Cricetulus griseus: one gene and its partners. The protein of the gene in region 6 interacts with the protein of the main gene of each other region in a pairwise test. Links are inferred from orthologs where the notes say so. Each region holds a gene or a part of one and is shown on either strand. Other genes may lie near its edges.

Evidence for each region.
Region 1: the proteins of Tle5 (region 6) and Trim26 interact in binary tests that used the Homo sapiens proteins (3 or more experiments, as listed by UniProt). The two-hybrid records come from large-scale screens. The link is inferred for Cricetulus griseus from reciprocal best matches to the Homo sapiens genes TLE5 and TRIM26.
Region 2: the proteins of Tle5 (region 6) and protein LDOC1-like interact in binary tests that used the Homo sapiens proteins (3 or more experiments, as listed by UniProt). The two-hybrid records come from large-scale screens. The link is inferred for Cricetulus griseus from reciprocal best matches to the Homo sapiens genes TLE5 and LDOC1.
Region 3: the proteins of Tle5 (region 6) and Zgpat interact in binary tests that used the Homo sapiens proteins (3 or more experiments, as listed by UniProt). The two-hybrid records come from large-scale screens. The link is inferred for Cricetulus griseus from reciprocal best matches to the Homo sapiens genes TLE5 and ZGPAT.
Region 4: the proteins of Tle5 (region 6) and Nudt22 interact in binary tests that used the Homo sapiens proteins (3 or more experiments, as listed by UniProt). The two-hybrid records come from large-scale screens. The link is inferred for Cricetulus griseus from reciprocal best matches to the Homo sapiens genes TLE5 and NUDT22.
Region 5: the proteins of Tle5 (region 6) and Sdcbp interact in binary tests that used the Homo sapiens proteins (3 or more experiments, as listed by UniProt). The two-hybrid records come from large-scale screens. The link is inferred for Cricetulus griseus from reciprocal best matches to the Homo sapiens genes TLE5 and SDCBP.
Region 7: the proteins of Tle5 (region 6) and Trim41 interact in binary tests that used the Homo sapiens proteins (3 or more experiments, as listed by UniProt). The two-hybrid records come from large-scale screens. The link is inferred for Cricetulus griseus from reciprocal best matches to the Homo sapiens genes TLE5 and TRIM41.

What each region holds. Positions count from the first base shown.
Region 1 is NW_023276806.1:228,893,226-228,895,890, reverse strand, and holds part of Trim26 (tripartite motif-containing protein 26), read left to right. Parts: intron 1-1,561; coding exon 1,562-1,584; intron 1,585-1,975; coding exon 1,976-2,091; intron 2,092-2,310; coding exon 2,311-2,343; intron 2,344-2,665.
Region 2 is NC_048604.1:11,336,581-11,338,924, reverse strand, and holds protein LDOC1-like, read left to right. Parts: upstream 1-1,391; coding exon 1,392-1,844; downstream 1,845-2,344. UniProt on the Homo sapiens protein: May have an important role in the development and/or progression of some cancers.
Region 3 is NC_048599.1:540,403-544,354, reverse strand, and holds the start of Zgpat (zinc finger CCCH-type with G patch domain-containing protein), read left to right. Parts: upstream 1-1,152; 5' UTR 1,153-1,428; coding exon 1,429-2,009; intron 2,010-3,952. Other genes in the region: Arfrp1 (ADP-ribosylation factor-related protein 1), read right to left, coding at 7-94, 383-475. UniProt on the Homo sapiens protein: Transcription repressor that specifically binds the 5'-GGAG[GA]A[GA]A-3' consensus sequence. Represses transcription by recruiting the chromatin multiprotein complex NuRD to target promoters.
Region 4 is NC_048596.1:52,458,918-52,463,205, forward strand, and holds the start of Nudt22 (uridine diphosphate glucose pyrophosphatase NUDT22), read left to right. Parts: upstream 1-1,488; 5' UTR 1,489-1,578; intron 1,579-1,845; 5' UTR 1,846-1,862; coding exon 1,863-2,339; intron 2,340-2,773; coding exon 2,774-2,872; intron 2,873-3,791; coding exon 3,792-3,889; intron 3,890-4,016; coding exon 4,017-4,110; intron 4,111-4,288. Other genes in the region: Trpt1 (tRNA 2'-phosphotransferase 1), read right to left, coding at 796-877, 1,066-1,170. UniProt on the Homo sapiens protein: Hydrolyzes UDP-glucose to glucose 1-phosphate and UMP and UDP-galactose to galactose 1-phosphate and UMP. Preferred substrate is UDP-glucose.
Region 5 is NC_048595.1:154,149,917-154,153,416, forward strand, and holds part of Sdcbp (syntenin-1), read right to left. Parts: intron 2,378-3,500; 5' UTR 2,363-2,377; coding exon 2,312-2,362; intron 453-2,311; coding exon 374-452; intron 1-373. UniProt on the Homo sapiens protein: Multifunctional adapter protein involved in diverse array of functions including trafficking of transmembrane proteins, neuro and immunomodulation, exosome biogenesis, and tumorigenesis.
Region 6 is NC_048598.1:102,308,517-102,312,634, forward strand, and holds the start of Tle5 (TLE family member 5), read left to right. Parts: upstream 1-1,318; 5' UTR 1,319-1,495; coding exon 1,496-1,522; intron 1,523-2,973; coding exon 2,974-3,071; intron 3,072-4,118. UniProt on the Homo sapiens protein: Transcriptional corepressor. Acts as a dominant repressor towards other family members. Inhibits NF-kappa-B-regulated gene expression. May be required for the initiation and maintenance of the differentiated state.
Region 7 is NC_048600.1:63,472,683-63,476,634, reverse strand, and holds the start of Trim41 (E3 ubiquitin-protein ligase TRIM41), read left to right. Parts: upstream 1-1,152; 5' UTR 1,153-1,461; coding exon 1,462-2,268; intron 2,269-3,952.

The DNA of each region.
Region 1 (2,665 bases), on a different chromosome or scaffold from region 6:
CAGAGAACTGTGGAGGCTTCAAGCTTTACCAAAGCATCATCTCATGAGATTTTCCCGCCTTCTCTGTCCTTCCACACGTTTCCCTCACGCAGACAGCACCGCCGTCTTCCTCCTGCACAAGGTGCCTATCCATAGTGACCTTGAGTTGCTCTAAAGCAGTCATGGGATGCTCAGCTTCTCTCTTGTGCCCCCTGTTGCCATCTCCAACTCCCTGTTCCGTAACAGCCGCCAGGGTACCCTCCGCTGCCCATTGCCTCCTGCCACCATTTGCCAAGGATCAGCCAAGTGTCCAGTTACCTAGGGTTTCTGCTAGTTGCTGCTCAATAGCTCATGTGGAGCACAAGTTCCCTTACGTCATTGCAGCAGTTGAGAGGTGGGGGTCTAGAGATGTCCATGCAGTCATCCAAGAGCTGGCTTATTTCTTGGGGATACTGTTCTCAGCCATGCAATTTGAGTTGGATTCATCACTGTGTTCAAAATTCAGCCAATGAGAAGAGAGGAGCTAGAAAGCAATTTTATTTTTTAAAGAACAAGAATGAGAATCTTGATCTCCCCCCCATCCCATTGGAACTTAGTCACGTGAATAGACTTGATTATAGGGGGATGTGGGAAATGTAGTTTCTTGACTGGTCACATGTCAGACCAGAATTTATGGAGTTTAGTATTATAAAGGAGGGGAAAGGCAGGTAACATGGCTTAGCAGGTAAAGGCACCTGCTACCAGGCCTGTTCACCTGAGTTCAACCCACAAGTTGAGCACAAACTGCCACAAGTTGTCCTTTGACCTTCACATACATTGTGGTATAGCACACACTCATCACACGCATACACATAAATGCTTAAAAGTGGGGAGGGGGGAAATGGGTGCCAGGGGATAGTTGCCTTTTATCCCACTGTGCGTAGAATAAAATTCACCATCATCACCCCTTCCTGCCTGGTGTGATCTGGCCCTGCCTCCTCTCTAAGCCCTTTCCCATTTCTTATCAGTCTACACCCAGTTAGTACTTTATCATTCTTCAACCCTTAGCTTAAGTGTCTCCTTGGAGAGGCCAGGTCACTTGCCACCTCTAGTTTTTTCTGCCTTTATAATATGTTTGTTCATTTATTTTTACATGTATGGGTGTTTTTACGTGAATGTGTATCTGTACACCACTTGTATGCTTGGTGCCTGTGGAAGCCAGAAGAAGGCATTGGGTTCCCTGGAACTGGAGTTATAGATGGTAGTGAGCTGCCATGTGAGTGCAAGGAATCAAACCTGGATCCTCTGAAAGAGCAGCCAGTGCTCTTAACCACTGAGCCAACTCTCCAGCCTATTGATTTCTAGCCCTACTAGACTGTCAGTTCCCTAGGGAAGGAGATCGTGTGTGTGTATGTGTGTGTGTGTGTGTGTGTGTGTGTGTGTGTGTGTGTGTTTGTGTGTGTGAGTGTGTGTGTGTGTGTGTGTGTGTGTGTGTGTGTGTGGAGGGGGGGGGTTGCTGTTATGTGCCTGCCTGTTACGGTGTTGACTTATAGATGTAGTTTTACTTAATTCACCTTGGTGCTTGTGTTCCCTTCCTTTGCAGGACACCAAGGACTTTGCCAACAGGTAGGAATTTCATTTGCTTATGGTTACTCTCCCTGCTTCTATGACCATGGTCCATGTGAATAATGGGGAGTGATAGGATGCCAAAGGCAAGGCAGCCCTTGTTTCATGAAAGCTGTCTTTGAGGGTTAGAGGCTCTTCTCTCCCAGTGTGATCTCTGAAGTCCAGCTGGGTTCACTGTCTTCATCTGAGGCACAATGGGAGAGTCAAAGCCTGGACTGGTAGACAGTTCTCACTTGTGGGATCTGCTGGCAGTCTTATGTCCTTGGTTAGTTTTTCTGTCTCTTGATTAGGGATAATCAAACCTTTCCTGCTCACTTTATGATTGTCACAAACACGGGCAGAAAAGCAGGAAGAGCCAAACAACAGGTTCTTGTGTCCGTCACATTTTCAGGTACCCCCGGAAGAAGTTTTGGATTGGGAAAGCCATCCCTCACATGGTTAAAAGAAAGGCAGGAGAATTCTCAGATAAACTTCTCTCTCTGCAACGGGGCCTGAGGCAGTTCCAGGGTAAGCACTGGGGACACCAGGCTGGGCCATACTTGAGGGTCTCCTGGCTTCTCACTTCCATATTCTCCCATCTTACCCTTCCAAGGAGCTCTAGTTCCTGCATCTTTCTTCCTTGGGATCTCCAGTGAAGCCCTGTCCCATAATTGATAACCAAGTCCGAAATGAGTTCATGAGTTTGCTCGTCTGAAGCTCATTTCTATCTTTTTTTTTAATCCTTAGGCAAGCTCCTGAGAGACCTGGAGTATAAGACAGGTGAGTAAACATAGCACTGTCCCTGTGGAATCCTCACTGGTATTGCCCAAAGATGGCCCAACCCTTACGTTTTTAACCGCTGGGTAATCTGCAGTGCTGATGACCCTTGGAGGTCACAGGTCACACTTCTAGTCTTTCTCATCTACCTCACCACGTGGTCCTCTGAGAGCAAACAGCAGTGCTAGCCCAAGGCCAGAGATCATCCTGCCCAGACCTGTGCTGTGTGCGCCGAGTGCCTCCAGGGGACACAGTTCACAGAGACTGTGACATAAATAGCACTCTTGGAGTGTGCAGTGAGGCAGCACTGGCACGTGGAGACTGG
Region 2 (2,344 bases), on a different chromosome or scaffold from region 6:
TGAAGTAAGGGTTGGAGCTGTACATGCCGACAGACAATTCACATATAGATGAGACAGTTTGGGAAGCCCTTTCTCAAAGTAGTATAAAATGAGGTAGGCAAGTAAAGGGGGAAAGATAGCTAGAAGGGACAAAGGCTCTGAGATTAGGCGAGATCTGCTTGATGTGTGCAGGAATTAGCAGGCGAGGCAGAGATTAGGACAACAGGAGGTCATGTAAAAAGGGCATGCAGAAGGAGGTCCTTGTATGTTACGACCAAGGGTTTGCTTTTTATTCAGAGCAGCAGAGAGGGAAAAACTGCTGGAGAACGTCGAAATGGGGAGTGAAAGGCTCTAACTCACATTCTAAAAGTGTTCTGAGGCTATTCTAGAGAATATGCAGAAAAGGGGAAGAATGACAGCTAAGGGATTAGATGTAGCAGACCAGACCGTGAAAGAAGGCTGGGATCGAGGTAGCAGAGATGCCCGGAAGTGACTGAATGTGGAGATGTATTTTAAAAAGCAGACCCAATAGCTATCAGCTCAAGGATCCTGGACCAAACTTAGTTATCGACAACTAATGACGTTTAAAATAGGCAGACAAAGTTATTTTACAGAGCTCATCACAGTTTATAACTTAGGAACAAAGGCACTGATAACAGGAATATGGAAAGAATCAAAGATAGAATGTTGGCAAATGGATACTCTGTGCAGATTTGGAGATCTTTTGGTGAAATTGTCTCAACTGAAGAGAAGCCCCTGTTGACAATTACTTATGTATTTAATGAAAGCACCCCTTGCAAGTCTTGAAGTCTCTAAACTCAAATGATCTCCCGCAGTATGACCCTCAGTGTCAGTGTTATTTCTCTGGGTGAAATTTAAACAAGCAAGGAAATGTGTTAAGAAAGCATTACTCTAAAAAAATGTTGATGGCTGCAGGCCCACCGAGGAACACTGTATTGGATGAACAGGTCGGCTGCAGAGAAGTTTAAGCTGAAGCAGGCCAGCCCTGAGTGCTGAGCTTCTATGCTCGCACAGCCCTCCACTGTGGCAGGCTTGGCTCCCCCAGCGTTTCTTCATCAGGCTGGGGGAATTGACAGAGGCCCGGGGCGATGCTCCCTTGGTCACGCCTTCCTCCTCCTGGGCCACGTCCACTCGGTCCGTCAGTCCCACCCTGGCCACACCCCCACGCCACCAGCACTCCCCTCCGCCACGCCTTTCTCACCGCAGTGCGCTGGCGCATTGGCTGCCAGAGTGACCTTGTGGGTGGAGCTTCCGCCACCAGCTAGACCCCCTCTGCGCAGTGCCCAGGGTCAGCACTCCTCTGAGGACACGCACTTCCTCTACGGCCTCCTTGAGCAGCTCCGCGGAGCCGATCCGAGCCCGAGAGCCCGAGACCTGCCAAGCGAGTCACCATGGTGGACGAGCTGGTGTTGCTTCTGCACGCGCTGCTGGTGCGACACCGCGACCTGTGCATCGAGAACAACCGGCTCATGAAACAGCTGCGGCTGCTGGTGTGTGAGCGGGCCATTCTGCTGCGCCAGGTACGTCCGCCCAGCTGTCCGGTGCCCTTCCCCTCACCGTTTAATGGCGAGAACGCCCGGCTCCCCGAGTTTATTGTGCAGACGATGTCCTACATGCTTGTGAATGAGGACCGCTTCTGCAACGACGCCATGAAAGTGGCATTCCTGATCAGCCTCCTCTCCGGGAAAGCCGAGGATTGGGTGGTGCCGTACATCCAGACAGATAGCGCCATTCTCTGTGATTATCGCGCGTTTGTTGAAGAGATGAAGCAGTGTTTTGGCTGGTATGACGACGAAGATGATGATGATGATGATGACGACGACTGTGAAGCGGTTGATTGCTAGGCCCCGAGCCCCCTTAGGCCTACATGAGGAGGACCCTGCACGCTGCGTCCTCCCTACCCCCACCGCTACTCCTGCTGCCTCCGTGCCCCCCTTTGCATTGCCATTCTCTTCCCTGCCAATCACTTCGCTCCTTCATCCCTTTTAGTGCTTGTCTTTGTGCCAATTACCTGCTACGAGTGCTTGAGTTGGGCCTGGGCCTGGCTCTGAGGTTCACAGTGTTCAATTTTAACCAATCCGGGCACCTTTCTAATCTGAACTGTGTTTTGAGCTCCAGCCATTGTCCAGGCCTGTGTTAGAACTCGTCAGACCACCTGCATTCCTGCCGCTGGCTTCTGATGGATCGCCATCTACATCTGCCAGAAGTGGATGCCTGTCACCTCACCCCCCCCCACCACCACCCCCCACTGCATCTCATCTGCAGCCATCCACTTTTCAAGATATGGACCAGGAAGAAGATGATGGAGTTGGCTACATCTATTCAGACTCTCATTTGGACAGTT
Region 3 (3,952 bases), on a different chromosome or scaffold from region 6:
CCTTACTGTTTAGGCCCACGGTAGTGGTGATTTTGGATAGACTCATCCCTTTGTAGTTCTTGTTAAACCGTGTTTTTGATTGTTCCAAGAAGGTCTGAGGAAAGAAAGAAAGGTGGTTAGGTAGTGGCAGCTAAAGCAGTTTCCTGGTGTCTTTTCTAAATATCCCTCCACATCCATATGCTTTGGGCAAATTCAGGCTTTCACACCCACATGGTTTGGGCAACTTCAGGCCTTCACACCCATACACACATGCACACGAACCTCTGCCTGTTGAATGCTCTTCGGGAGGCTGGTGGCAACTAACCTGTAGTCTTGGGTAGGGATTAGATTTGCAAAGAACATAAGGCAGGGAAAGGGAATTGGTGAGAGAACAGGCACCTACTGTCTTCCCGGCATTGTCCAGGCCTAGGATCAGGATGCAGTATTCATCCTTCTGGAACATGTACTTGTACAGCCCCGAAAGCAGCGTGTACATCCTGCCCTGGCACCCTGAGAAATGTCAAGGTGTGTACCAGGGCTATCGGCCTCCTGTCCGCTTCATCAGTGGTCCGTCGGTCCTGCTAGTTTTCAAATGTGGAGCCTCGTGGCTCGCGACTCCTTGCCCCCCTCTCCCCAGCCCCCGATTCCGGACCCTGCCTCCACCACCGACCACCCGCTAAACCTGGGCCACTACTCCCACTGCGGGTCATCTTTGTGAATACACCATCAGTCCTGAAAAACCCATGGCGGCCTACCCTGCTCCGCCCTCCTAAGGCTTCTTTTCCGGACCCTCAACTCAGCACTGGGAACTTCGACTGTCGTAGCTACCAGAGAGTCAGCTTCTGAGTGGGCCGCCTTTGGATCCCCCCCCGCTGCCGGGCCCACGGAGCCAAAGAACCAGCTGCCGAAGCCGCTTCCCTGCCCCCTACCCCAGGATTCTGGAACCCCGGCCCCTCAGTCCGGCGGAGACCCACCTGCACCTGCTCAGATCTCGGAGCCGCAGACGCCGTCGTCGCGTCGCAAACCCCACCGACCTCGCGTTGACCCCGCGCGGTGCCTGTCGGGACACCGACCGGCCGACTGAGTACGAGAGGGCGGAGCCGCATCCCGACGGCCCCCGCGCGCCCCATCCCGGAGGCTCCCGAACGCGGGCACTTCCGGCAGCATCAGCTCTCGGGCGGAAGTGCCCGCGGCGGGCGGAAGGCTAGCGCGAGGGCTCTGCTGGCGAGGCCGGAAGCCCTTGTAGGCTGCGAGCACCGGCGGGAGGCGGGGCTGCGGACCGCAGAGGACGCGGTGGGATACTTTGCGGTTCCCTTGGCAGCGCCGAGGTCCTCCTCAGCCTCTCCAGCGGCCGGGGAGGGGGCGGCGTTGTCCTGAGCTCTGCCGACTGCTCTTCCCTCAGGTCTCGTCTGCTTTAGCGGTTCCGAAACTAGCCTGCGCGGTGTAGCGATGGACGAGGACAACCTGGAGACGGCCCTGCAGACCTACCGGGCCCAGCTCGGGCAGGTAGAGCTGGCTCTTGGTGCTGGCCTGGACGCTTCCGAGCTTGCGGACCTGCGCCAGCTGCAGGGCGATCTGAAGGAACTGATAGAGCTCACCGAGGCCAGCCTGTTGTCGGTCAGGAAGAGCAAGCTGCTGGCTACAGTGGACCTGGAGCACCAGGCAGAGGAGGACGCTGAGTACTTGGCTTTCCAGAAGGCTGTGGCGGAGGAAGGGGAGGCACCCGTCGCCCCCGTGGATGACTCGGAGACTGTCCCTGGGAGCGTGGTGCGGCCTGGACCCACCTCCCCTGCACAGGAGGAAGACGAGGAGGATCCAGATCAGGAGGAGCTGAGCGGTGCTAAAGTGAATGCCCCTTACCACAGCGCTTGGGGCACGCTAGAGTATCACAACGCAATGGTTGTGGGCACTGAAGAGGCAGAGGATGGTTCGGCATGCGTTCGCGTACTCTACCTGTACCCTACCCACAAGTCCCTGAAGCCCTGCCCGTTCTTCCTGGAGGGAAAATGCCGCTTCAAGGAGAACTGCAGGTAAAGCCCTCTGCTACTAGCAATAAGGGTCACTCGAGCAGGACCACTGCTGTGGCCTGCCGCCTTCACAACTTGTTCTCCACCCCGCAGAATTGATAAAAGAGAAGGGGGAGCTTCAGGTGGCTGACAGGCTTTAACAGGAACATTCCCTGTTAAGTAAACACATAAGTAAACACATTATATTCATTCTCTCTCTCTCTCTCTCTCTCTCTCTCTCTCTCTCTCTCTCTCTCTCTCTCTCTCTCTCTCTCTCCACCTCCCACCCTCCCTCCCTCTTTTTTTGGATACAGAGTTTCACTGTGTAGCCCTGTCTGTCCTGGAGCTCGCTCTGTAGATCAGTCTGGCCTTGAACTCAGAGATCTACCTGCTCTGCCTCCCAGGTGCTTGGGACTAAAGGCGTGTGTCACCACTTCTAGCTAAGATTTATTTTTGTGTGTATTTGTGTGGGTATGTGAACATGAGTACAGGTGCCAGAAGGTGTTGCATGTTCTACAGCTGGAGTTCCAGGTGCTTATGAGCCACCCAACATAGATCCTGGAAAACAAACTCAGGTCCTCTGCAAGAGCAGTATGCTCTCAACCACCAAGCCATTTCTCTAGCTCTATATACTTACTTTTCTTTTTAATTGTGTGTATGTGTGTGTGTTTGTGAATACATGTGTACTTGAGTACAGGTGCATGAGGAGGCTAAAAGAAGGTGTTGGATCTCCTGAAGCAGGAGCTTCAGGACTACTGGTAGTGAACTACTTGGGTCTTCCTCAAAAACATTACACATACTCTTAACCACTGAGCCATCTCTCCAACCTCCAGAGACCACCTATATTCCTTGGTTTGTGGTTCTCTTACATCACTTTAAGCTCTTACTTCCATGGTTACATCTGTACTCTGCACATTTTATTTCTTTACTTTTTCTTTAACATGGGATCTCATGTAGCTTTAAGCTGGCCTTGAAATCCATATATAGCCAAGGATGACTTTAAATTCTTCATCTTTCTGCTTCTACCTCCCTAGGGCCAGGATTACAAGCATGTGCTACCTAGCTTGGCTCTGCACATCTTTTTTAGATCCTAGTAGACTTGACATGTTCCTTGCTCACTCTCTTTCCTTCTCATGCCTATAGGTGCATAAATGATCAGTGTGCTCAGTGGGTTTTCTCCAAGAATACACATGTTGCTATAACCAGTGGCTGCTTTATCTGCCATAGTCTTTTTGTGGGAAGCCCTGTGATGAGAGATTTAATACCTCTAAGTACTTTCTCTGACTGACATATGCTCACTTCTCTGTGCACGAACCTATGGGTAGGCCCTGAACTCATCCCATTTTATATAATTTTTGTTTTATTTTATTTTGTATGTATATATGCATGTGCCATGGTGCTCATGTGTAGGTCAAAAGACAGCTTTTGAGTGTAGGCTCCTTCAACCATGTGGGCCCTGGGGATTGAATTCAGGTCATCAAGCTTGGCAGAAGGTACCTTTACTTGTCAAACCATTTGTCAGTCCCCACCCCACTTTATAGATGGAGAGACAGACACCAAAGCACTAAGTGATCGGTACAATGTTGCTGGCCGTGAGACCACTTCATCACAAGGAGCTGCTTGTGGTATCAATTTTAGGGCAGAACTAAAAGACAATAAAACATCTAACACCATCTTTACAACCATCCAGGATGAATGAGTTGTTTTCTTGAATTTGCTTTAGATTTTTTTTGTTTTGTTTTGTTTTGTTTTTGTTTTTCGAGACAGGGTTTCTCTATGTAGCTTTGGAGCCTATCCTGGCACTTGCTCTAGAGACCAGGCTGACCTCGAGCTCACAGAGATCCACCTGCCTCTGCCTCCTGAGTGCTGGGATTAAAGGCGTGCACCACCAATGCCCAGCTTGCTTTAGATTCTTAAAAATAAATTTAACTAACTCCACCTGCATTACCATAACTTTGGTGTATGTC
Region 4 (4,288 bases), on a different chromosome or scaffold from region 6:
GTTCCTTTGTGTGACCTTCAGGAAGGCTTTCCTTTGGGGGCTTCATTTTTTTGTTTTTTCTATACTGGGGTGGAACACAGAGCCTTGCACCTGCTAGGCAAGACCTCTGCTAAGGAGATACACTTCCATCCCAAGCCTTATTTTTCTTAACTTACCTGGGAAGGTGACCAGCTTTATAGTGGCCATATTGGTACATGCCTATACGCCCAGCAATTGGGTGGTAGAGGCAGAAGAATCAAGAGTTCAAGGTATTTTGAGGCTAGCCTAAGTTAATGACACCTTATCTCAAAATGAAAACAAAAGGGCTTTAGAAATGGTACATCAATTAAGCGCACTGGCCAATCTTCCAAAGGACGTGGGGTCTGACTCCCAGAGCTCACATGGCAGCTCCCAACCATCTGAACTCCAGTTCCAGGGGTCCAGTGCCCTCTTCTGCCTCCACAAGCACCAGGTATGCACGTAGTGCAGACATACATGCATGCAGGCAAAACACTCATACAATAAAAACAAACAAACAAAAAACTAAAAACAAATAGCATATCTGCTTCAGGGAGAGTAACAGCATGTACTAAGTACTTGGCCCAGAATGGCCATCCAATAAACATCACTTGCCTCAGAATGCAACCCCTTCCATCCTTGGGAAGTGTTTATCATGAGATGGGTTCTGGGCTTTCTTTTTCTGTACATTTGGAGAGTGTGCCTATTCTGTGTTCCTCCTGGGCAGGGTTAAAAGTTGAGGAGACAGGGTTCCAGTCTGGGCTCATACTTCTCCCAGATTCCACCATGCTCACTTACCAGCTCGCATGGGAAGTCCCAACTTCAAGGCTCCGTGGCGTAGGGCATAGGACAGAGCCTTAGACAGCTGCACATCTCGGTCCTGAAAGAGTCATTGGGTTTTGGTAGCTAGCCCTGAGCCCTGAATGTCCTACTGCAAAGGTAGACCAGAACAGCTCCAGTGGCCTCTGGGACCATTGGTTCTCCAGTCTTCCCACCAAGAAGCTGAGGCTCAGAGGGTCTCCTCCCCTGTCCAGCCACTGCCGGGGGTGAGGGTGGAAAGGTGCACACCTGTTCCCGGGGTCTATGGGCCCTTCTACCTTCCTGCCTCCTTCCTCCAGGGGCGTTCATGGCCAAGACCTGTAGGGAGCAGGAACGTGTGGCCACTCTGCCCATAAAGTCACAAAGGCTCGGGATGGGTGAATCACACCGCTCATCCCACCCTGGAACCCTCTGGTCCACACAATGGAAGTTGAGGCCCAGCTGGCGAGACTTGCCAGGGTCACACTGGCAGCCACGAGACCCGAGGGATCTGGATCAGACTCCGCTCTCTGGAATCGGATCGCGGATTTGCCGCTGCCTAGGTCTCCGGGCTGGAGACTAGACGCCAAGGTGAGCCAGGCCGATGCGGATCAGAAGCGCTCAAGGAGGGTCAAGTCGCAGGCCTGGACACAGACTGGCCAATGGGAAGCCGCGAAGGAAAGGGGCAGGCACTTCCGCTTGAGAGGAAAGAGGTGGAGCTTGGGGGCCAAGCCGCCGGTGAATTCCAAGAGCCAGCTTCCAGAGCGTCCGTCCGGGTTGGAGGTAAGTACATCTGGGTTTGGGGGCCATGAACATTGGAGCGTCTACTGCTGCTGGGTGGTAGGGATGCCCAAAGGTTTTAGGGATCTGGGGCAGCAGGAGTTCCAGGTGCTTGCTGGGCTCAGGATTCTTGCTGGGTTGATACTCTTGCCCAAGCAATAAGTAGTCAGGGATCTGCAGAAGGGTGGGCTCACTTTCAGGAGTTCTGTGGAAAAGAGGGCCAGCTCATTGTCTCGAGTGACAGGATGGCCATATGTGTCTTCTCCCCAGAATTTCCTTGTCAAACCATGGACCCTGAGGTGTCCCTCCTGCTGTTGTGTCCTCCTGGGGGACTGTCCCAGGAGCAGGTAGCAGTAGAGCTGAGCCCAGCTCATGATCGTCGCCCACTGCCTGGAGGAGACAAGACCATTACTGCCATCTGGGAGACAAGGCTACAGACCCAACCCTGGATCTTTGATGCCCCTAAGTTCCGCCTTCACTCGGCCATACTGGCATCCAGCTCACCTCAGCCACAGCTGCTCCTGAACCTGGGACTAACTTCCTACCGGGACTTCCTGGGCACAAACTGGTCCAGCTCAGCCTCCTGGCTGCGACAGCAGGGAGCTACAGATTGGGGTGAAAAGCAAGCCTATCTGGCAGATCCACTGGGGGTGGGTGCCATATTGGTCACAGCTGATGACTTCCTTGTCTTCCTGCGCCGCTCTCAGCAGGTGGCTGAGGCGCCTGGGATGGTAGACGTGCCTGGAGGGCACCCTGAACCTCAGGTAAAATGACTGGCTGGGTACAAAGGCACAAAATTCAAGCTCCTAGTTCTGGTTTTATTTTATCTTAAAGGGAAAAGTGGCCTGGTGTTTCTCAGCCAGTAGCCTCCCGTGCTGCATGCCCTGCTAGAGGGCTGCCCACCCAGCTGAGCACCTCCCATGACTCTCACCAATATTGGGAGGAGACAAGGTGCTCACTGCCATTTGGGAGATCAAGTTATAGTTCTAAGCTGAAACACACCTATGAAAGCTAGGGAGCATGGGAGGAGGCTGAAGGGGAGATATCTTTTCTCACCTTCCTAGTTGGAATAGGAGGACCTGGGTTAGGGAATTGCCAAGACTCCCACACTGAATCTGCCCTAGGCCCCCATAGCCAACAAGAGGAAAAGCAGAATGGGAACTGGAATAGATGAAGGCTGAGCCTAAATTTTTCACAGGCCCTGTGCTCTGGTGGCATCCCCCAGCACAAGGACCTCCCTGGGGAACTGGTGGTACGTGAACTCTTCTCCAGTGTCCTACAGGAGATCTGTGATGAGGTGAGTGACACATGACACTCCCAGACACATGATAGGCATGAATGAGGGGGTAGGATTTGCTAGAAATCCACAGTCCTGGGCCAGAGTGAGGGTCTGCATGAGCCTCGCTGCCATTGAAGGAGCATAGCATTAACACTGAGGCCATGATTCCTTAGCCCTCAGATTCTTCTTTACTACAGTGCAAATAATGAAAAATGTCTAGTCTAGTCTGTTCCCATATTTGCTGAAAAAATAGTGAGAGTCTTGGTTACTTCGCTTGGGTAAAATGGTTTCCCTGGACAATTTGTTCCATTTTTCATCTGAAAATTAACACACTCAGAGCCTGTATTTTGTGTAATGGGGCATTTGGCTAGCAAAACAAAAATGCCAAGTGTCACAGCCATTGAGGATTGGGGATATAGCTCAGTTTTGCTCTTAAGATTGTTTGCCTAGCACAGTGGTTCTCATCCTTCCTATTGCTGCAACCCTTAATGTAATTCCTCATGGTGTAGTGACCTCCAACCATAAATTTATTTTCGTTGCTACTTCATAACTGTAATTTTGCTACTGCTGTGAAGCATAATGTAAATATGTTTTCCAATGGTCTTAGGTGACCTCTGTAAAAGGGTCATTTGACCTCCTGAGGGGTTGCGACCCACAGGTTGAGAAACACTGGCCTAACAATGTACAAAGCCTGGGGTTTTATCTTCAGTACTGTGTAAACCAGGTACAGTGATGCATACCTGTAATTCCAGCACTCAGGAGATGAAGGCAGGACCAGAAATTCTGGGTCATCTTTGCTAAATAGTGAGTTTAAGGCCAGCCTGGGCTACTTGAGGTTCTGCCTTAACAAAAATAAACATACAAAAACACCAAACTAACAAACAAAAAACCCAGGCCATTGAGCTGTCAGCCTGACAGGTGGGACTCCCTGCCACAGGTGAACGTGCCACCGCATACCTTGAGCCAGCCACTGTTATTGGGCATCGCTTGCAATGAGACCAGCGCGGGCAGAGCCAGTGCAGAGTTCCATGTCCAGTGAGTGGGCTCTGGGGTGCAGGATCCTGGGTGAGGTGGGTGGGGAAGGAGTGGGTGTGAGGCGACTCGAGTTCTGTGGGGTTCCCATAAAGTCTGGACACCAAGCCACCCTCATGTTTTTGTCTAGGTGCAGCCTAACTTCAGAGGAGGTTAGGAGTTATTACATGAGTGGGGGACCTGAGGCCCACGAGTCTACAGGAATCATCTTTGTGGAGACACAGGTGTGGAGTTGAGGCCTTCACGGTGGTCTGGTATTGGGGGGAAAGAATACTTGGGTGAGGCAGAGAACTCCCGGGTCTCCTAGAGTTTCCAGAGGCACAAAGCTTGGGTCCTACCTAAGGGGAAAGCCCATGAACGGGGATAGACAGGAGTACTGAGATTCAGTAACTATAGGCAGAA
Region 5 (3,500 bases), on a different chromosome or scaffold from region 6:
AAGGGAGCTTCTGAACTCCCCACAAAGGTGTAATGAGGCAGCTCAGAATGCCTGCAGGCAGCTACATCTTATCAGGAAAGCTGAAGCTCCATGCAACAGTGCTTCCCCTTTAATGACCAGGCCATGTTAAGGACTATGGCTCAAACTAAAATACAATTGCATTATGTCCTAAAACATACCTTCATACTCAGAGAGCACTCTCTTGATTAAATACAGGTTAGTTCTATAGTAAACCATTTTTCCTTACTGCTACTGGATTGTTAATCACAAATTCATATAACGTCAAAATCCTAGGTTCTGAACTTCAGAGGGAGAAAAAAAGGCTTTGTATATATTTCTTTCCAAAGAAAATGAGCCCAAAGTATGAACCTACTTCCATCTGTAGGGTAAGCACCAGAAACATCCACCAAAACTGCCTGGGTGGCAGGGCCAGAAGAAAAGGCAGTCTGAGCCTAGAAAAGAAAATATTTACATATACTTAAATGATTTACAAGTTAAATCTAGATAGAATTTCCCAAAAGAAATGAACAATTGAAGCTTTACTCAAAGTTTCATTTTAAATACTTCAGCAACCATTTATTTTCCAAAGGAAATCTATAAATAAAAAAAAATGTATCTTTTTTATAGTCAGTGCTTCACAGTATTCTGCAAATAAATCCACTGTATGTGCTTTCTCTATTGGTATTTGAGATGAAGCCTGATGTAGCCCAGGCTAGCATCAAACTCCCCATTTAGCTGAGTACTGCATTACCATCAACTCCTGATCCTCCTGCCTCCTCCACCTCTGAAGTGCTAGGTTTACAGGCATGTGCTACTATGCTCATTTATTTCATGCTGGGGTTGGACTGAATACCGGCCTTCACGCATAACAGACAGGCCCAGGCTATAAAGAGCTCGGAATTGAAAATGGTTCTAGGAGTATGTGGCACTGAAAGCCACGGCTTAACGGCTATTGCAAAATAATTTACGGAATATGAACTGCCAGTTCACTGCTGTGGTGCAAAGGGCCAGAAGACAAGAAGGAATGTAACATTCCTCTGTAACTTCTTGCCAGGGCATCTCAAGCAGTCACCCACCCTAGATAATGAAGCACAACAACTAGCCCAAAAGGCTGGACTAAGAGTGTTTTGAAATCTAACCAGAACAGAAGAGCCATACCCCACCTCTGCCCAGCCCTGTTCCATCTGCCAGTAGCTAGCTCTCTGCCCTGAACACTGAAGGTCCTTGAAAGGAATCCACTTCTCTTAAAGGGGCCAGCTGACGTAAACTGAAGGCCAGGAAAACATCTGTCAAAATCAACTGCCTTCTGTATTTCCACAGTGAAAACCCTCTACTAAAAGCCAACTGTGGTTAACTTAAGTTCAATTCCATACTCAGCTACTAAAGAATAACATGGACAAAGATCATTTTTTGCAATCTGTATGTTAATCCTTAATGTACTAATGTAATATTGATTGATTTTAGGCCAAGTATTTCAGATAAAAGCTTTATGAAAAGAGAGCATGTTCAGATGAACTTTGTGAAAATTACCACAGGAGGGGCAAAACTTAACACCACAGAAAAGGCAGACATTTAAAAATGACTAACCATGCCCCTCATAGCTTAGAAGCATCCCTCCTTGGCAGCTCACTGCACACTTCAGATGCTAAAAGCTACATGTAATATCCTTCCTAGACTGAGGCTGGAAAAAAACTGTCCTTGGAGCAATTTCCCCACCTAGTGCCACTGCATCAGTCCCTGGGACACCTGAGCTACTATTACTACCTGGTTCACTCTCCTTTCACCCCAGAATGGTATCAAGAAAAATGTACCAACTTTACACAAAACTATGACTATCTAAAGACTTACATGCATATTATATACTCCAACTTTTATGAGTTATATGCAATTTAGACTGTACTAAGAAAATGAAACATTCTGAAGACTGTAGAAATACTTAAAAGAAATACTATCTGGCTGGAGAGTGGTTCAGGGGTTAAGCTGTAGAAAGTATAGTGTTCGTAAAGCAGACCCAAGTTCAGTTCCCAGCACTGGAGCCTATGGAACCTGGCTGTTCACAACCATCTGTAACTCCAGCTCCAGAGAGACCTCTTCTGGTCTCACAGGAGTCTACACGCATGTGTCCATGGCATACACATGCATGCATGGGCTAACAAATATACAGAGAGAAAAAAGAATTTCTAGTCTTCTTGAGAAAGTTTAGTCTACAACAGACTTAGACATAGCAATACACCAACAAATGCATGCTTCCCATTTCATTTCACTAGTGAACATGTTATGAAATAATTCTTAAAATTAAAAGCAAACGTACCTGAATTACTTTGTCTACCTTCAAATCTTCAAGAGATGGATAAAGAGACATTTTTGCAGGTTTTTTCTAAAAGAAGAAAAAAAGTTTTTAATGTCATAGAAATATACACAGTATGTACGGCCAGCAATATGCACATAAACATGGACAGTGCTGTTTAATACAATAAACATGTAAGTTCAAAAGCCATAACAACAGGACTGGTTAAGGCATATCATAGTTGTTAACATTTAATAGTTGTTACCAAACTCCATCTCTGTTCCCATAGCTACCAAACTACATTCATCGTGGATTTTAAACCTTAACAAGAAAGGCTGCCTTAACTTCACAAGTTGTGAATATCAAAGACAAGAGGCATATGACTTTTGCTTAGCTGACACAGTGCCCCTCAGCAAAGCCAGGGTCAGGAAACGGGCCTTTCACAAGATCTATTACCTTCTAACAACTAGAGCCAAGAGCAAACAGTATGCAGTATCAGCATGTATGACAGCACTGGGAGAATACACATACGTACAAGGAAAAACTAACATATGCCATCTGTTTATTTTTTAGCAATGGTTTTATCTTGAGGAAACAGCTCTAAGAAGGAAATTATTACCTTTCATTTTAATATTTCTACGCTGTAACATTTTTTAAGCTACCATAAATAGCTTTTTTGCAACAATTTAAAATTCTCTGTAATATTGCAGACACACATTTTACATTTTGTTTAGACATTCTGAGATAAATACCCAAGACTTCCCACTTAGCCAAATAAAACAGAATGTATCCTAATTGTTAAAAGGTTTTGGCAAATTACTGAGCCAGCCCATCAACCTCCTACTTCCAAATCTATTCCTTATTTCCTGCTCTCCAAAAACAGAGCTGAAGCTCTTAGAAGACAGGATGCTGCTGCGTGTTCAGCAAGGGCAATCAGGGGCACAAAGAGCATCTCAGCCACGCTGGGCCACCATCCTCTCCAACCAGATCCCCACAGGACATGCTTCTCTAGCAGCTTAGCCCAGCTACGCTGAGCAAAAAAGCAACACAGAAAGCCATCAGGCTGGAGCAGGTAGCCCAGACCTTTTCATATGGCTTTGCAACAAATTCTAAATGTGACATGCTATAGTAAACACTACTGGAAGTGCTAAGGAGCACCTCACAAGGTATTGAGAACTATTGGAAGGCAGTTTGTTTCAGTGGTGCACTCTCT
Region 6 (4,118 bases):
GGGTTACATGTGACCCTATTTTCATTAAATAAGATAGTGTCAAACTCACCAGTGGGACTGTTACCAGAAGCCCTGCCATGAGCAGCGGCCTTGCCTCCTGGGGTCCAGTGTGTGAGTTCTGTCCCAGGGGCTTTGTCCTTGTCCTATGGGCCAGAGAGTCTCCATGCTCCCTCTTCCCCTCAACTGCATACCCCCCCCCCTTAGCTCCTCACTGGGGCTGGGCATCCTAGTGGACCAGGCCTATTGGGCCTATTGTTTCTGCTCTCTCTCTCTCTCTCTCTCTCTCTCTCTCTCTCTCTCTCTCTCTCTCTCGGTTTTCCGAGACAGGGTTTCTCTGTGTAGCTTTGCAGCCTATCCTGGCACTCGCTCTGGGGTGCAGGCTGGCCTCGAACTCACAGAGATCTGCCTGCCTCTGCCTCCCGAGTGCTGGAATTAAAGGCGTGTGCCATCAACGCCCCGGCACCTCTGCTCTCTGATCTTTGTGGGTCACCTGTGCATAACAGTCGACTTTTGTCAGGGTCTGTCTCAAGTATGGGACAGACAATTGCCATACAGCTCAGGCTGGCCAGAAATTGTAGGAATCCCTCTGCTTCAGCTTGCTCTGAAATGTTGGGCACTAATTAGCCCCGGGAACTATTTTCCTTTTATATATTTATGTTTTTATTTTAATTATTCTTGAGAAAGGGCTCATGCAATCCTGGCCAGGCTAGCCTCAAACTCAGAGAGATCTGCCTGCCTCTGGGCCTCCGGAGCGCTGGAATTAAAAGGTGTGCACCACCTCTGTTTCCAGTAGGTCTCTAACTTTTGTTATTTTTGAGACGGAGGCTCATGTAGCCCAGGCTGTATGGGAACTCACTGTGTAGATCAGGCTGGCTTCCACCTGTCTCAACCTACCTTGCACTGGGATTAAAGCCTTGCACCATCACTCAAGTCTTTTACTTTCTGTTGCTGTTTTGAGATTGGGTGTTTTGTAGCGCAGATTGGCCTGGAACTCTTGGTCCTCCAGCCTGTACACTTCAGTCAGTGGTGACAGGCCTGGCCCCTTCCTACCTCCGTGGGACGGGTATCACCGTGCCCCCAGCCGTGCCAAGCCTCCCCTCCCCACTCCAGAGAGGGCGAGGCACACCGTAGGCGATTCATAAATGCACCTTGGGGTCTGGGCACTCAGACTGTGGGTCTGGGGCCTGAGAGTGGAGTGGGGGATCGAGGCAGGCTTCGGGCCAGGGCTCGGGGCCGCGGCGGGGGCGGGGCGCGCGGGGCCAAGGTCACGGGTGGGGCGTCCGGCCTGCGCAGTGCCGGGCGCGGCAGGTGGAGCGGGAGCCCGGGCGGCACCGCGTCGCCATTACACAATAGCGCGGGCGGCGCGGGCGGGCGGCGGGCGGCGCAGGAGGCGGGACGCGGGGCCCCGGAGCTGCCGATCGGGGACAAAGCGCGGCCGCCCGGCGCCCCCCGAGCCGCCCGAGCCGGGGCGCAGCCCGCGCCCCCCGCGACTGACATGATGTTTCCGCAAAGCCGGCACTCGGTAAGGGGGACCCCGCGCTCTGCACCCCGGAGCTCGCCCTGCACCCCCGGTGCTCGCCCTACATCCCCAGCTCTGCTCACTGAACCCCCGGAGCTCGGATCCCGCCTGTCTCCCCGCCCAGGGCCTGCCCCAGGGGCTCCCACCGGCGCTGTCCCCGGGGTCTTTGCACCCAACCACCCAGGCCGTGCGCACCCCACCGGCCCAGCACTGCATCCTTCAGCCCGGACCCCTGAACTTTGATCCCGGCCTCGAGCCCACCCCGTGCTGCCTGCCCATCCCGACTCCGGACCAGCCTGTCTCTCAGCCCGGGGCCCCGCACCCCACTCCAGCCGCATCCGGCCTGTCTCCCAGCCCTGGGGCTCAGGCCCAGGGCTGCAGCACCCCAAGCCCAGGCCGCACGTGTCCTCCAGCCTGAGACCTTGCACCGCCACCTCTGCGCTCCCGCACCCCTCCGCACCAGCTCGCTAATGGCCCCAGACCAGCCTGCCCCCAAGTCCAAGGCCCTGCACTTCCATCCCTGCCCCCAAGTCGGCTGCCCCGCACCCCAGAATATAGGCTCCGTACCCACTGCCTCTCCCCCGAGCCCTTTCGGGCCTGGCGTCACCATCCGGGCCCAGCGCCACCCCCCAGCCCGGCCCTGTGTCCTGCAGCTGCAGGCCTCGCACCCCAGAGGCCTGCCACCTCCCAGCCCCCATCCTGCACCCTCAGTACCGCAGTGTGGGGGACCCTGCGCCTTTATAACGCCCACTGTGCCTCTGCCCCTGTCCGGAGCCCGAGGACCCCCCACGCCCGCCCTCCCCCAGCTCCAGGCGCCGACCCCCCGCACATCCCTCCCACCCCAGCTCCCGGTGGCCCGGCAGCCCCCACCCTGCTCCCAGCCTTGACCCCAGACTCTAACTGTGCTCCCCAGATCCGAAAACCTTACACCCCAACTCCTGGCCCAGTGTCCTCAGATGCCAGCCCTGTGCATCCCCTCACCCCCAGGGACACCTCTCGGCCCGCCCCTGCACCCTAACATTTACCATCTGCCTCCCTGACCCCAGGCCTGTCTTCCTCCCATGGCTTTCACTGGGGCTGGGGGGAACCCCGCGAGGCACCCCTGGGGCTGGGCAGCTTTGGGGGGAGTCCCCTGAGGAAACAGGTGTGATGGGGGTACGCCCAGGAAGTGTGGGGTGGTAGCTAGGTGCATCTTCCAAGCTGGCTTTGAAGGCAGGCCTGTGTCCTGTTTGACGTAGAGGGGCTTCCCGGGGACCCCTCAGAGGCCGCTGGAGGATGGGGTGCCTGCCCCCCAAAATGACCAACGGTAAAAGCGCCTCCTTGCCTGGGGGCCTCCCAGCCCCCTGCAGGCTTCCTAGGAGAGTGCTGCTGGGGCCTGCAGAGCTCAGCCAGGAAGTAGGGCGTGGGCGGGCAAGCAGGCCCTCACCCTCCCGCACCCTCACCCGCACCCGCAGGGCTCCTCCCACCTCCCCCAGCAGCTCAAGTTCACCACCTCCGACTCCTGCGACCGGATCAAAGATGAATTCCAGCTGCTGCAAGCCCAGTACCACAGGTGAGCCCGCGCCAGGAAGGCCGCACCCCCAGAATGTAGGGGTTATCTGTGGTCTGGAGAAAGGCTGGGAGGGGGTGGAGGCTTGAGGGTCAGCAGTTCAAGGTCATCTTCAACTACTTAGCAAGTTAGAGGCCAGCCTGGGATACATACCACCCTGAGTCCAAAACCAAACCAGCAGCCCCGTAGTGTGGAGGGGGAAACCGAGGCACACAGTGTGTGTTGCTTCAGAAGCCGGGTCCCCAGAGAGCGTGATGCTCTCATTTTAACACAGGCTGCAGTGGGTGTCCAGAGAGGGTTATTAATCAGCCAAGGTCCACACAGCCCCTCCTTCTCTTTCTGTCCACTTATGGAGTGGGGGAGCTTGCTGGTGTCCCACAGACCATCCAACTGACGGGCTCCCACAAACTGTTTTCCTGTTTCTCATGTGTGAAACTAATCACTCTGAAGCCCAGAGAGCTCAGCCATTTCCGAGGGCTGCACAGCACAGAAGCAGCCTGAAGTAGGGGACTGGGGAAAGCGTGGCCTGGGGTCCCCATTTGACCCTGTACTCCCAACAGTGAGTGAGCATGGGGGTGCGGCCCAACACTCAGTTCTCAGACACACAGGAGGAGGATGGAGGCGTTTTGGGCTAGCCTGAGGTACAGAGCAAACCTATGTCTCAGAAAACAAATAGTAATAATAGTAATAGTCTTTGAAAGATACTCAGAGTTCTCCAAGAAAAAGGAAATCTTGGGTTTGTGATTTTTTTTTAATTTATTATTTTTACTTTTTGGTATTTATTTTGAGACAGGGTCTCATGTAGTCCAGGCTTCCTCCAGCTCCCTTTGTAGCCAAGGATGACCTTGAGCTGCTAACAGTAGATGACAGTCAAGAAGGGGCCCAGTGGAGCTTCATGTGCTAGGTCAGTGGAAGCTACCTACCAGGCCACAGCCCCAGCATTTGTCATTTTAGAGAGGGCACAGGTGTGCCCCCCCCCATGGTCTCCCACTCGGGTCCGTGGCCCCGCCCTCCTCAGGGATGCCTTCTCTGAGCCCGGGCCTGAGTTCC
Region 7 (3,952 bases), on a different chromosome or scaffold from region 6:
AAAAGAACTACATGTTAGGAAAAGCGTCTTTCCTACCCGGTCATCTTTCCTAGAGAAATTCTGTCTTCCTCCACAGACGCGGATATGGTAGAGTAGCTAGCTAACCCTGAGCAGTCGGACCAGGTGCTAGGAAACCCTCTGATCGCTTTACGTGACATCCTCACAAAACCCCGAGGCGACGACCTATGGTCTACTTTAAAGGAGTAGTCACAGCCATACAAAGCACCAAATACACTTAACCTTGTATACTCCAGAGTGTCCAGCAATCTGCGCTTTTTAAGCATAACACATCCGGGAAGACTCTTGTTCACATATCTGGACAGTGTTCCATTTAATGTGAATGTAGCTATTAATAATAAATGATAGGCCAGTGGCCAGATGACAGTGTTTTTTTGTTTGTTTGTTTGTTTGCTTGCTCTGGTTGGTTGGTGGTTACTTCCTGGGACAGGGTCTGACTTTGTAGCCCAGATTAGACAAGGCTGTAACTTGCCGCGGTCCTCCTGCCTCTCCCTCCCAAGTGTGGGAGGCATACAGGAGTGCCCGCAAGATTGCAGCTGCTGAAACGGGCGTGGGAATGCCCCGCAGAGGGTGGCGCCTCCCGAACTCCAGTCCCAGCTATCTCGTCAGACTCCGCCCACGACCCCCACTTGCAGGGATCTATCGAGTCTCCAGCAAGTTCTAGGGCTACAGGGGCCGGAAGTGTTTGAGGACGCTGAGCGGGCCCGCCCCTCAGCTTCCGGCACTGCTATTGGGAGTGCCTTCTGCAGGCGTCCGTGCCTGGTCGGTAGGATGGCGCTAGGCCGCTGCGGTTGTAGCACGGAGAGCAGGGTGCTGCTCCACGTCCTCGCTGCCCTCCGCCATCTGTCCCCGCTGGCGGGGCATGGGGGCTTCTTCCGCTTTGTACGCGTTCCCCGCCGCCAGTCATCACAGAGATGCGGACCTCCGCCGTCCTAGCCCTCCCGCCCTGTTCCCGCGTGTCCGCTAGAGCGTCTCCTCCTCGTTTCCGGTTGCCCTGGAGTCCGGGGCGGGGCGTGGGAGAAGGGGGGCGTAGCACAACCTCGGAGGGAACTCGTGAGTTTAGGTCGTGTGGAGACGCCGGAAGCGTCGGGAGGGAGGCCGGAAGCTGGGGGGCGGGGCCAGGAAGTGAGGAGGGGCGGGGGTTTATGAGGAGGCCGGGGGAGCGTTGGGGCAGATTTGCACTCAGGTCCACCTGAGATACTTGTCGGTGGTGCTCACCTCAGTCCCCTCCCCTCTCTGAGACGCGATTGTCGTCTAGGGGTAGGGGACTGTGTGTGCAGCGGTGGGCTGGTCGGGAGGACATTCCTCCGGCCTCGCCGCAGGCAAGGTGTGGGGAAGCAGGGCTTGGGGTGGGGACGGGTCTCCTGGGCTTCTGAGAAGGAAGACCCCCCCGCCCCCCCTCGGCCCCCACCACACTTCTACACTGGCTGACTGGACACTAAGATGGCTGCCGTTGCCATGACACCCAACCCTGTGCAGACCCTTCAGGAGGAGGCGGTGTGCGCCATCTGCCTCGATTACTTCACGGACCCCGTGTCCATCGGCTGCGGGCACAACTTCTGCCGAGTGTGTGTAACCCAGTTGTGGGGCGGGGAGGATGAGGAGGACAGGGATGAGTTGGATCGGGAGGAGGAGGAGGAGGTCGGAGAGGAGGAAGAAGTGGAGGCTGTCGGAGCAGGCGGGGGTTGGGACACCCCCATGCGGGATGAAGATTATGAGGGTGACATGGAGGAGGAGGCCGAGGAGGAAGAGGAGGGTGTGTTCTGGAGTAGTGGTATAGGCGGGTCCAACTGGGACAACATGGACTATGTGTGGGAGGAAGAGGAGGAGGAGGAAGATCTGGACTATTACTTGGGAGATGTGGAGGACCTGAGGGGGGAAGATGAGGACGAGGAGGAGGAAGTGCTGGAGGAAGATGAGGAAGAGGAGCTAGATCCGATCACCCAACTGCCGCCACCTCCAGCCCCTCGGAGGTGCTTCACTTGTCCCCAGTGCCGAAAAAGTTTTCCTCGGCGGAGCTTCCGCCCCAACCTGCAGTTGGCCAACATGGTCCAGGTGATTCGTCAGATGCATCCAACCCCTGGTCGAGGGAGTCGTGTGAATGAACAAGGCATCTGTCCGAGACACCAAGAAGCCCTGAAATTGTTCTGTGAGGTGGATGAAGAAGCCATCTGTGTGGTGTGCCGAGAATCCAGGAGCCACAAACAGCATAGTGTGGTGCCATTGGAAGAGGTGGTGCAGGAGTACAAGGTGAGTGAACTAAGCAAGGCAAGAGTTTAGTAAGGGTAGGGAGGAAATAGAGGACATCGGGCAAAGGGAATGTGGGTTCTCTTACAGGACCTCATGTCCTGCAGAAATGATTCTCCCTGTCCAAGCACTGACTTCCAAGGTCGATAAATTACAAGGATCCTGAGACTTCCTCTGTGGCTTAAGGATAGGAGTGCAAGTGACAGAGAGTGCATTCATCCTTCTGGATGGATCTTAAGTCTTATCCATGACAGAGTCACTTCCAGATGGAAAGAAATGGGACCAAAAAGAACAAGGGAGTCTGAAACAGGAGCATAGAAATAACTAGTGTCAGACCCAAATACTCTGCACTTGTTTCCTAACGGGTTCCACACCCATCCTATGATACAGATTTGCTGGTTGGCTCAGCACCCAGTCTCATGTATTAACCAGAAAGGAGGGTTTTAGGGTAAAAATCTTGTGTCTTTAAACTTTTTTTTTGTTTTTGTTATTTTTTTGAGACAGGATTTCTCTGTGTAGCTTTGGAGCCTATCCTGGCACTCACTCAGTAGTAGACCAGGCTGGCCTTGAACTCACAGGAATCTGCCTGCCTGTGCCTCTGGAGTGCTGGGATTAAAGGTGTGCCTACCCGGCTTCACTTTGAACTTTAATTATTACAGGAGTTAATATTTATAGGGCACTTCACATATAGTCAGTACTGTGCAGGTCACTTTTTGTGGATTATCATTCATAATTCAAAGTCACCATGTGAGTTTGATGTTTGCCATTCTCATTTTATTGATTGGGAAACAGGGTTAAATTCTGAACATGGATGTTTATGTATATACAGCTTTAATAAGTGATAGACTTGGATATGAACATCTTCCTCTTGGGGCTCCTAGGTAACACTACTTGGATATTTTAGTTTGACTTTTTTTTTTTTTTTTTTCTCGAGACAGGGTTTCTCTGTGTAGCTTTGGAGCCTCTCCTGGAACTCACTCAGTAGACCAGGCTGGCCTTGAACTCACAGAGATCTGCCTGCCTCTGCCTCTGCTTCCCAAGTGCTGGGATTAAAGGCATCCGCCACCAACGCCTGGCCTAGTTTGACTTTTCTGATGTGACTGTTCTAGGAATCTAATTCTTGTTTGGTTAACTGGCTTGTTCTTTATTTCTCTAATTCTTTGGACATATGTAAAGGACATGTGTCTGTGAAGCAGCCAGCACAGATAGAACTATCTTCAGATTTGAAGCCATAGAATCAGGAGGAGAGGGTAGCCTCCTCTGTATGGCTGCCCAGAGCTTTGTTTGTGACTAATGTTTCTATGCCTCCTCCTAATTCAGTCAGTAACTTCATTTAGGTGATCATCACCTCCTCAACTTTAGAGTCTAAGGCTTCACAGCTGATTGTCAGTTATTTGAGGAGATGTCAAAAGTACAGTGGGCCTTACTGCAGAAGTTCTGAATTAGAGTATCTATAGAATAGTCATCCTAAAATGGGCATGATAGTGCAAGCTTTTTATCCCAACACTTGGGGAAATAGAGGCAGGAAGAACAGTTCAAGGTCATCCTTGATGTAGCAAGATAGAGGCTAGCTCAAGATACATGAGACCTGAGGGCAAGAAACCCTTTTTGTTTCTTGTTTGTTTGTTTGTTTGTTTGTTTTTTCCTGGACAGGGTTTCTCTGTGTAATAGACCTGGATATCCTGGA